Danio rerio: one gene and its partner. Each later gene encodes a partner of the first gene's protein in a complex. Links are inferred from orthologs where the notes say so. Each region holds a gene or a part of one and is shown in the gene's direction. Other genes may lie near its edges.

Region 1 (5,769 bases):
AATACTAGAATAGAAATTAAATTGATGTCAGTTGAAGGTTGGCAGCTCATTCCAGCAAAAAGGAGCAGAGATTATGAAGGGTGATGGTTTTGGTGAGCAATATTGATTCTTCTGAAAGTTTTGATGATCTATATTGCAAGTGGTTGTGTTTGGACAGTTTACGACAGCAGGTGGCAGTATTGCTTCACAAAATTGCCCTTGTTAGGACACAAAGTGCTGAGATACTGTAGTAGGCCTAGCTGTACTGTGTTATATAATGTATAGCATTAGCTTTACTTAAATTATTAACGCTAAAATAAAACTTTTATACAACAAGAATGTTTTAAATTGATCAAAATTATCTGTAATAACAGATATAGTGCTGCAAAGGATAAAAAACATTCTGTGTATATATATATATATATATATATATATATATATATATATATATATATATATATATATATATATATATATAAATGTTTGTATGTATGTATATATAATAAATAATCTGAGCAAATCAGCATGTTAATGTGTTTTCTGAATAAATGAGTAAGTTGACACAATATAAATGTTTGTTCTTTGCATTTCACACATCCATAAATGTTACAAGGGATTTTTTGTTTAAAATAAAGTTTTTTTTTCTGTTTATATAAATATGTTTTTATGTTATGTTAATCTGCTCAAATCACATATTGGAATGATTTGTAAATTCTGTCTGATAATTTCACATGGCATCGTGAAGAAATCATGTAGTAAATGCAGTTTGAGCAGAACATAAGTAAATTATGTTTTAAAATATTAGAAAATAGAAAACAATAATTTTAACCCTCCTGTTGACTCATGGGTCAAAATGACCCGGGCACCCAGACACCGTTTTAACAGCAAAAAAGAAATAAACAATTTCTTTATCTTAAAGTTTGATTGCTTCTAAAATTTCCCCAACATTTGAAAAAATTCATCATTTTCATATTGTTATAAAGGCTGTACACATTTAGGGTACAACAGTTGTCTTTTGGGTAAATTTTATATAGATGGCCAACTATAATGCCAAAACATTTTAATTCTAAAACATTTTACACTTATGCAGGTACTTTAGATATAGAAAATATGCCCTTTACTTTAGCCAAGAATGAGTTGTCCTGATTAAACATTGATAAATGTTTACAGAGTTTGTGATGAAGATGAGATTGTTTCTTAATGCACAACAGATATGAGGATTAAAATTATTTTCACAGCTTTATTTTAAAGGTTATACAACAGTGCACGCCGGTGTATACAAAGTTCTAAGACAACAGCAGAGGAAAAAGTTTAAGCATATTTCACAGTATTACTTTTTTTAGAGGATTGTTGATTAAATGAATGCAGCCTTGATGAGCATATGACAATTCTTTAAAAAATATTTTGAGAAGTCGCCAAACTTTTGCATGATATTATGTGTAAAAACACAGGAACAGAAACAGTGACTGTCTGCCGCCTTCTCTGAGTTTATCATTAAACATGTAAAACCTCTCTCAGCTTCAGGGTATGGAGCAGGAGCTGTTTGGTGCTCCATCATCCTTCCGAACCCCCATGTCAACAAAGATTCGACTGTACCGACGAGATCTAGCCAAACTGCAGAGAGATATTCGGCTATCAGCAACACCAGGGCTTACAGGTCAGCTCGGGGACAGCAGACTTGGTGTTTATGCCTCACAGAATGACCAGAGTGTAAGTATATCTCATCACTCTCTTAAAAGAGGCCGTTCAGGTTTTTCTCACTCTCATGTGTTTTGAACTGGTCCAATAGTTATATTTATGTTTTCTGTGAAACCATGTTTCATGGAAAGAGAAAGGTCACTGAGGTTATGCAGATTAAGACAGAATTTCTGCTTTCTTTGATGAATTACCCCAGACATCAGCTGAGATCATGGTTGAAATGTGTGTTATTGAGAACAGAGAACTATTCATTTTATGATAAAAATCAGTGTTACTGATGATAAATTTATTAAACCATCCTTATTTAGGTTTAGACAGGAATGTGTTGTTGTGTTTAGAAAGGTATTGTTAAATGAAAGCTTTACTCCTCATTGATGATGTGCACATCACTTGAACAGTAATTATGGAGAATTTCTACATCTTTCCAGCTGGATCTAGATTTTCTTCAGGCTAGAACTGGCTAGAACCGCTCCACTGTACCCCTCATGTGTATTCCTACAGGAAGTTCCATAACAATGAGTATGTTTTGAGTACTACAGATCTCTATCTCTTCTGTGTACTGTTTAATGACACACCTTGCTGGCATTCCAGAGGTGTTACGTGATTCTCAGTACACCACTCACCTCCGGCTACATGTAGTGCTGATTTGAAAAAGTTCAATGAATTTAACTACTTGTTACCTAAGTTTGTTAATAATATGGCAACAGGACAAACCCCTCAGGGCTTGAAAGCTGAGCGCATATAGTGTGCAGTTCTCAAAACTTGATGCTGATCATTGTTTTTGGTTGCCTGGTTATTCATAAATGATTGACAAAAAAAAGATGAAAAAGAAGCTCAGGGTATTAGGATTTATATGACTTAATCCAAGTGCTGGTCATGTAATTAGATTATCTTCAAAAAGTTGATTTATTTCACTAATTCCATTCAAGAAGCAAAACTTTTATATTACTGCAGCATTACGGCGTGGCATGGAGTTGATAAGTCTGTGGCACTGCTCAAGTGTTATGAGAGCCCAGGTTGCTCTGATAGTGGCCCTCAGATCTTCTGCATAGTTTGGTTTGGCACATTGCATCTTCCTTTTTACAATACCCCATTGGTAGTCCCATATGGTATCTGCGCGTGCAGAATTCAGCAGATTTTTAGCCCGTCATTAAATCTGTTTATTTACTTGAGTAAATCTAAGTTTATTCAGTTTTTAAATTAATTACAGTAATATTGTTGACTAATATGAAAATGTTCATCTGATTTACGTACAGTGCAGTTTGTAATGTAATATTTTCTATCTTTTAGTAGATATATTATATGAAAGACTTACCTTGTTTACCAAATAAAGTGAATCTGATTGGATTTGCATTTTAAAAATTAAATAAAAGTTAAAAAGGTATTATTATAATCACATATTAAGGTTTTAGTCATTATACTCCCAAAATAATCCAGCAGAAATCCGCAGATTTTTTACCAAAATTCTCTGCAGAAATAGCAAAAAAATGTCTGCAGATTCTGTCTGGCCCTACCTATTGGTTTTCTATGGGATTAAGGTAGGGTGAGTTTGCTGTCCAATTAAGAACAGGTGCTTAAAGCAGTGCTGGTTGCTTTGGCACTGTGTGCAGGTGCCAAGTCCTGTTGGAAAATCACTCAGCAGCAGTCCAGACTTTAGCTCAGACGAGACACTTCTGATGCTGTCTGTTGCTCAAAAGAAACAAGGAATGTGACAGCTGACACCCATGTCTTGCACACGTCTGTGCGTAGTGGTTCTTGAAGCACTGACTCCAGCTGCAGTCCACTCTTTGTGAATCTCCTCCACATTTTTGAATGAGTTTTGTTACTCAACTCTCCAGGATGTAGTTATCCCTAATGCTTGTAATCTTCTACCACATCTTTTTTTCCCTTTACCTCTCTGGTAATGTGCCTGGACCCAGAGCTCTGTGAACAGCCAGCCTCTTATGCAATGACCTTTTGTGCCTTGTGCAAGGTGATAGTGGTCATTTTTTGGCAAACTGTGTAATCAGCCGTCTTCCACATGATTGTGTAGCCTACAAAACTAAACGGAGAGACCATTTAAAGGTCTTTGCAGGTGTTTTGAGTTAATTAGCTGATTAGAATGTGGCACCAGGTGTCTTCAATACTGAACCTTTTCACCATATTCAAATTTTCTGAGATACTGAATTTAGGGTTTTCATAAGTTGTCATTAAATTAAAAGAATTGCTTGAAATATATCAGTCTGTGTGGAATGAATGTATACAATATACAACTTTTACTTCTTGAGTGGAATTACTGAAATCAACTTTTTGAAGATATTCTGAATGTAGACCAGCACCTGTATAACATGAAGGGTAAGAGTGTGCTTTGTATGAGATCAGGTAGTGAGCTGCTGTGCATGTTGCTGTTTTTACCACAACACAACTTGGAAAATAAAATCTAGACAGACAGATAGATAAATGGATGGATGGTCAGACGGATGTGCAGATGAATGGGCAGACAGACAGACAGGCAGAGATAAAGACAAAGTGATCACTTTGCAAGGCTTTTGGTTGTGCTTTTCAATTGAAGAATACCAAAAGAAGTGAATTAAGGCTTTTCTGCTGTTCATCATTCCCAAAAGAAGTTTGAATGTTCAAAAAGATGTTTGAAATCAATACTAAGAAAATACAGGGAGAAGAAACGCTAGATGTTAAACTGTACACTTACTGATTCGTCAAGTATCTCTTTAAGACTATGCTTGTATCCATCGCCATCTTTAAGCTCTTCCTCTAGCCGTTGTCTACTGAAAGCCTCAAAGACATCAGGGATGAAGTGGAAAGTGCAAAGGCACTAAGTTTTATTTGTGCAAAGGTATTGTCCTGTTCTTTTCTCATCTTTCGCAGTGAAGACCTAAATAATTCTCTCGCTGCTCTTTTTGTGAAAATTAAAAGCTGCACAATGTGGCATTGTACCAGTACCTTTTTCAGCTGTGTTGCAAAAAAATAAAAAAATAAATAAAAATCAACCATTACGCACTCAGAGGTCCCCCTAGGCCAAAATTAATGTTTTTTTTTTTTCAAATAGCAAATCTTTCATGGGTTTTCAACTGCATATTTCAGTAACAGACATTATTTTCAATAAATTGATCCATGCAGTTTTGCACACAAATTTAAAAAATCTGTCTTCCTTTACTCACCCTTTACTTGCTCCAGACCTGTTTGATTTCTGCTTCTTATTTTCTTCTGTTAAATCAATGGTTACGTGTTTTAGCTTGCTTCTAAATAACTTCTTTAGTGTTCAACAGAATAAACAAACTCATAAAGTTTTGGAACCACTTCAGGGGGAGTAAATAAAGAGTTTTTTATTTTGGGGTGAATTATCACTTTAATACCTGGGGTTGTTTTCAAGTAGTTAGACAGTTTTTATTTTATGAGCTACCTGTAATCATAAACAGATCCTTCCAGTTTTTCAACGCATATGTACCCACACCCACACACATGTATGTAAACTGGTATGTGATGAAAGTTTAATTCCCTGCATCTATACAAACACAGATGCCTGTTACACTGCAGTGGAGTGATTTATTTTTCTGTTGCGGATGCAGAAGTTGGCCTTAAGCAAGGTCATGCTGTGTGTCCCAAGAGACCTGTTTCTGATCTCAATGAAACTGAGGAAGTGAGGTCAGCAATTGTTTCTTTCGAGAGGTCATCACAGTTTTTGTTTTTTTTTTAAATTACAATCAAAATGGTAAAAGTGGGCAATAGTTACCTTTCACTCAGCATGTGCTTATGCTATCTATCTATCTATCTATCTATCTATCTATCTATCTATCTATCTATCTATCTATCTATCTATCTATCTATCTGTCTGTCTGTCTGTCTGTCTGTCTGTCTGTCTGTCTGTCTGTCTGTCTGTCTGTCTGTCTGTCTGTCTGTCTGTCTGTCTGTCTGTCTGTCTGTCTGTCTGTCTGTCTGTCTGTCTGTCTGTCTGTCTGTCTGCCTGCCTGCCTGCCTGCCTGCCTGTCTGCATGCCAGCCAGCCTGCCAGCCTGCCTGTCTGTCTGTCTGTCTGTCTGTCTGCGTCTATCTGCCCATCCATCTATCCATCCATCTGTCTATCCATCCATCCATC
Region 2 (6,231 bases), on another chromosome or scaffold:
CTGCAACTGAGTCAATTGAAACTTTTCTTTAGCCTAGAACTGATAGGAAAATCTCACCTGTTCTCGAATATTCTTGTGGGCTACATTACATGAGCCGCTCTTGGTGATAAAACGTGCCCTTTGTGACTTTGGCCGGATGCGGCTGGGTTGTGCATCTTCAGCGAGTCGCGTTAACAAGAACCCATCAGGCAAAAGACCTTTGCGGGCCAACATTATGACAATTTGTGGCCAATTGGTGCTCCGCACTGTAGAAGGAATTTAAAAAAAAGAACTAAAATATACAGTAACACTAAGGGTTTCTTGAAAAATAAAGAAAAAATTATGAAGTACATTTCAGTTAATTTAGTTTATCTTTAATTCTTTAGCCCTTTTTACAATGTAAACAATATACAAAGCAGTTTGACATTACATTTTATCATTAATTCATCATTAAATTTAGTGTTTTGTTTTACTTATACTGCTAAAAAAATAATAATAATAAATTAGGTTTACAGTATATATGCATTGAATTGCATAATTTTAAAATCTTTTACCTAAAGGTAACGTTTTGCCTAATAATAATGCAAAAGGTTACATTTATAAATTACATAATGAATAAGGTTATAATAACATTATAATAAAGGTTACATTAATAAATTATATTATTAGGTTATAATAAATAAAAATCGAAGAATTTTTGATGTAACTCGTAATATAATAGTTAAAGCTTAATTTTAATTATTTTTTTTGTTTATTTTATGCATAAACAGATAACTCATAAATTGTCTTTTGTTAGTTGCACAGATATCAAAGCATATTCATAATTTTAAACAATTACATTTATATTTCTTTTAGTTTTTATATTTAACTAATTTAAAATATAATTATTTAATTAAATAAATGGTAATCGTTTATTAAGGGAAAAACTGGCATGAAACTGTCTAATCACGAGCGACAATGCTATTTTGAATAGTTTAGTTTCACTCAAACATAAAATATATACATGTATTATTTCAAATATATACATATATTATAACGTTTTATCATAATTTGGTTGTACATCATCAAAGAAGCGCGTAAGCTCATCGATTATTTTACATATTTCAAAGCAATTTTTTTCGGTATGAGAATTCAGATGACAGTAGCTGATAGACCGCTCTTAATGTCATCCAATCTCCTAATTCCTGTTAAAACATCAGCATTAAAACGATTAATATTTTTCAATCCCCTTCAATTATTATTTTGCATTATATTAGAACATTTTCTTCATTTAATTGAATGCATTGTAGCGCATTAAGACATCCAAAAATCTTAATTTCAATATGCATCCTTTATTATTGTGTTTTACGATCGCCATCATGATGACAGGATTATCAAGGTTTTTTATAAGATAAAGATGCTTACCAGCACAACAGTGTCAGGCGCTGTTTATTTCATATCGATGTCGTTTAGTAAAATAATACTAACCGAACAAAACATTTAAAACCCAAACGCAAGCAGATGGCAGTCTAGGAAGCTTATGCAATCAGACAGAGTCCTTATGATAGAAAAATGAATGACCGGCGGATAAACATATCCCACAATCCCCTCGCGACAGCTGCGCTTCACTGTACACTGCTGCTGTTTGGCGGTTCTCTTCGGGATAAATGCGCTCTGTTTACTTTTGCCAACAGTTTTATTAACATTATATGTGTGCGAATTACATTTATACGTCTTTTACGGATAATAAGAATAGTTTTCGTCGGTGTTTGGCGTCTTTTGGAGTATTTTTAGAAGGTTGTTAGCCGATTAGCTCTTTAAAAATGGCTGATCCATGGAATCGAGGTAAGTGACACGTAGCAGTTCTCTTTTAATATGCAGTTCTTACACTTTTTAAGCAGTACTATAGCTAAGTTACATGATATTATACATGATATTAAAATATTATAAAGCTTTTATTGTCTAACAGTAGCTTCGGTTGTTGATTTTGCCTGAACAAATTTACTTAAATATGAAGGTGTTCAGGTGAGAATGTTGTAACAGCCCAAAATTATTGAATAATAATGTAATTTTCAGGACATGGAGCTGTGGATGACATGCTGGATGCTGAAAACAAGCGGATGGCGGAAAATCTGGCCAGTAAAGTCTCGAGACTAAAGTCTGTAAGTCAGAACTAGTCCAAGATCTGCTAAAATCTATTATTATTATTATTATTTTGAGTATAATGAGCTACACTGAAAAGCATTTTGAAAATCTCAATGGTGTTTTAAAATTTCCCAGAAATCAAGTATAAATAAAGTTGGTTTAATACTCAGAGATTCAGATATTCTCCTTAATAATATAATTTCAGTATCCCTTATACATTTTAAATGTGGAAGTCATATTATCAGCCAATAACTATCAAAGTATAACATTGTTCACAGTCAATTAAATAGTGCTAATGTTGTTTTAAAGTCATACTTGCATGCGATTTCAGACTCCAGAGTTTTCAATGTAACATGGTAAACCACATGGGGACAAGTTGTCATTGTTCAAAAATGAGCAAATGTGCAAATATAAGACCAACTTCACCTCAATTTCACTTCTTATTAAACTAAACATTTAGCTAAAAACATCAGTCTAAAAAGATTCAGTTTTACATAAATATTTCCCTCAGCATTTCTTTTCAATTCCAGCAAGTGGAAAAAAGTGTCTTGTGTGTATGGTATGAACAAGGCTGAGGTTTTCTCCTTTTCTGAAAGAGGTGGCATAGGCAAAAAATCTAAATGTTTTCTTAGATCTGCTTCTCATAAAAACTTCTATGTATAATATTATAAAGAAAATTTTGGCATATTTAAATGGTCATGAGGTAGTAAATATTTATTTTCTTGCCATAAAGTATTTAGTCTGTCTGTCTGTCTGTCTGTTGTTTTTATTGTCTCTTATAACAAAAGTTTTTTGTTGAAACCTTTTGAGAGTGCACATTAAATGTTGAAAATAAATGATTTTTTTTCAAGAACTGTTCCATCATAATCACCCATTGACTAATATAATGTCTTATTATAATTAATTTATATATTTAGTTAATTGATACTTTTGATGTTTTAAAAAAAATTACATTGTATGCTTTGTTATATTTATATAATTCTGGTTTAGTGTAAATTTGTATTTTTTTTTTTTTGGTATTTTATTCTGTTGTTTTATCTTAATATAAATTAGTTTTTTGTTTTTTTTTTTGTATTGGTTTTGATGATGATTTGATGTAAGTTTTTTTATTTTATTTGTTGGACCCCAGGAAGAATAGTCAATACATTAAAAAGTGCCTAATGGAGATCTAAATAAACACATTTAATAAAATCTAAATATATAATTTTATTTAAAATAAAATCATTTATATTTTGTTTTCTCCTTCGCAGCTAGCATACGACATTGACAAAGATGCGGAAGAACAGAATGCCTATTTGGATGGGATGGTAAGTGTAAATTCACGGTGGCTGATATCCAATTACAAAAATTGCACCTGCAAATTAAGTAAAAATCTTCATCGGTTTGAAAGCAAATCCTCACAACGCAAACAAATAAAGAAAACACACTGCATTCTGCACTGGACACAACAGAAATGTTTTAAGTTGACTCAAAAGCATGACAGACCTGTCTGGGATTTGCTTATTGTGCCTTGACTATTGCTCAGTAAAGTGATCTTTGTTTATTTTAACATCCTGATTCCACCAATCCATTTGTCTTTTGTATATTATTAGCTTCAATAACCATAACCTAAATATCTAAGTCCATCACGTTTTAGTCTCCCCTTGAAATATTTCTGTTGTGTGCAATGCTATTTGCCTGTGTTGTGAGAAAATGCAGCTTGCATTCTTAATTTGGTTGCATTGTGAGTATTTGCAACCTGTGGAAAATCTTTGCTTAATTTGCTGGTGTTTTTTGTAATTGCATGTGTTTTCTTAAATTGCAGTGTGTTAATCTCTCTTGGCCACGGTATGCATGAGTGTGTTAATGCTGTATTTGCAGTGTTGGCAGAAGGCTGTAACTCGTCATCATGTGCTTTTACATCCTTGTTTACTCAGGACTCCAACTTTCTCAGCACAACTGGTTTGTTGACTGGAAGCGTGAAGAGGTTTTCCACAATGGTCCGATCGGGTCGAGACAACAGAAAGATCCTGTGTTACGTGTCCGTGGGTCTGGTTGTGGCCTTCTTCCTGCTTTATTATCTGGTGTCCCGGATGCAGAACTGATGGGTGGTTTTGGTTGCTCATGTTTTAAGCTGGTTTCTCAGTTCTATGAGAGTTTATGGGGATTGTCTCTGTTATTTGGGGATTTCAGAGAAGCGCACAGGTTATGCTTTTTCATCATTATTAAGTGAAAACAGATGCAGTTTGAGAATGGTTGATCACATGTAACTCCAAGCTCTTTGTTTACATGTTCAAAATTAAGTTTATTCAGTGTGTATTTTTATTCATACTTCAATCAAAGAAACCCACATGGACCAATATTAGATTGATTAAAAGCTTACTTTTCTGATTTCCATGAGCTCTATTTTTATCACTGTAAAATATGTAAGAAAATGCAACTAATTTTTGATAATTATGTACATTAAAAATGTTATTGCGAATGCTTCATGTCATGATTCTTTCTGTGTGTGTTTTTCCATCCAGCCTCGATAAACGGCATACATTTAAACTCTTTCAAATTGTTTGATTGTCAAGAGCATCAATGATGTTTATTTACATTAATCTGTATATTTTAATTGGAAAATAATAAGTTCATCAATTCATTTTATGTTTATGTTTGTGTTGAGCTGATGCTGTGGTGGTCATAGAGGAGGGGAGTGCATGAGACTGATTCCTGAAAGACCACAATGGCACACAAGTCCCCGCACCAATCCTGTGGGCCAGCCTGATCACCCCCCGTGACCTACTCACACCTGCAGCTTCTCCACGATGGACGTCCAACGTTCTCCAGCCTCCGTAGCCTAAATTGCAGCTCCACACAAGAAGTTCGGGCAGATGAAAAATGGTCATGCCTAACAGAGCCTGGTTTCTCTTGAGGTTTTTTTTCCCTTCACTTCATTATTCATTTATTCATTCATTTCCTTGTCGGCTTGGTCCCTTTATTAATCCGGGGTCGCCACAGCAAATTGAACTCATCCAGCATGTTTTTACGCAGTGGATGCCCTTCCAGCCACAACCCATCCCTGGGAAACATCCACACACACACTCATTCACACTCATACACTACGGATAATTTTAGCCTACCCAATTCACCTGTACCGCATGTCTTTGGACTGTGGGGGAAACCGAAGCACCCGGAGGAAACCCACTCAAATGCAGGGAGAACATGCAAACTCCACACAGAAACGCCAACTGACCTAGCCGAGGCTCAAACCAGCAACCCTCTTGCTGTGAGGCGACAGCACTACCTACTGCGCCACTGCGTCGCCTTCACTTCGTCTGTTGAATTTTATTTATTCATTTTTTCCCCTCTTGCCACTGTCGCCACTGGCTGGCTTGGTTTGGGACTTGTGGAGCTGCGCATCGATGGATTTGCGCTTCAGTGTTTGAACCTTCAGCAGTGAAATGTAAACCACACTGAACTGAACTAAACTTCAACTCTGAAAACTGGACTTTACTAGAGCTTAAATGTAAAGCTGTTTTGACACAATCTACATTGTAAAAGCGCTATATAAATAAACATTAATTGAATTGATTATTTCTATAGCACTTTTACAATGTGGATTGTGTCAAAACCGCTTAACATAGAAGTTCAAGTTAATTGAAACTGTCAGTCCAGTCAGTTTAGCTCAGTTCAGTGTGGTTTAATTTTCACTGCTGAAAGTTCAAACACTGAAGAGCAAATCCATCGATGTTTGCTGCTACACAAGTCCCAAACCAAGCAAGACAGCGGCGAGCACCAAACTTCACCAATTGACGAAAGTGAAGGGGAAAAAACCTTGAGAGAAACCAGGCTCAGTTGAGTATGACCATTACTTCTTTGGCCAAACTTCTTGTGCAGAGCTGGAGTCTAGCTGCTGCAGATCGCTGGACGTCCATCGTGGAGAAGCTGCAGATGTGTGCAGGTCACCGGCGGGTGTTCAGGCTGGTCGGGGGCCTACAATTAGTCTTAACTTGTCTGTTGTAAAATCTGAGACAATATTTGGTCCATAAAAAATGAAAAATGCATTAAGTAGCATATAGATTTATAAAATTAAATTAGATTTTGTTGTACCTCACATTCGCACTATTCATTCATTTTCTTTTCAGCTTAATCCCTTTAATAATC

The links.
Region 2: vti1b (region 1) and bet1l share a complex: the UniProt entries of both Homo sapiens proteins name them as parts of the SNARE complex. The link is inferred for Danio rerio from reciprocal best matches to the Homo sapiens genes VTI1B and BET1L.

Annotation. Positions count from the first base shown.
Region 1 is NC_133188.1:36,483,312-36,489,080, reverse strand, and holds part of vti1b (vesicle transport through interaction with t-SNAREs homolog 1B), read left to right. Parts: intron 1-1,497; coding exon 1,498-1,689; exon of another isoform or gene 1,690-3,518; intron 3,519-3,596; exon of another isoform or gene 3,597-4,635; intron 4,636-5,769. UniProt on the Homo sapiens protein: V-SNARE that mediates vesicle transport pathways through interactions with t-SNAREs on the target membrane. These interactions are proposed to mediate aspects of the specificity of vesicle trafficking and to promote fusion of the lipid bilayers.
Region 2 is NC_133200.1:8,367,316-8,373,546, reverse strand, and holds the end of bet1l (BET1-like protein), read left to right. Parts: intron 1-57; coding exon of another isoform or gene 58-213; exon of another isoform or gene 214-245; intron 246-1,383; exon of another isoform or gene 1,384-1,503; intron 1,504-1,543; exon of another isoform or gene 1,544-1,781; coding exon of another isoform or gene 1,782-1,803; intron 1,804-2,034; coding exon of another isoform or gene 2,035-2,054; coding exon 2,055-2,120; intron 2,121-3,353; coding exon 3,354-3,410; intron 3,411-4,019; coding exon 4,020-4,187; 3' UTR 4,188-4,567; downstream 4,568-6,231. Other genes in the region: kcnj11l (potassium inwardly rectifying channel subfamily J member 11, like), read right to left, coding at 58-213. UniProt on the Homo sapiens protein: Vesicle SNARE required for targeting and fusion of retrograde transport vesicles with the Golgi complex. Required for the integrity of the Golgi complex.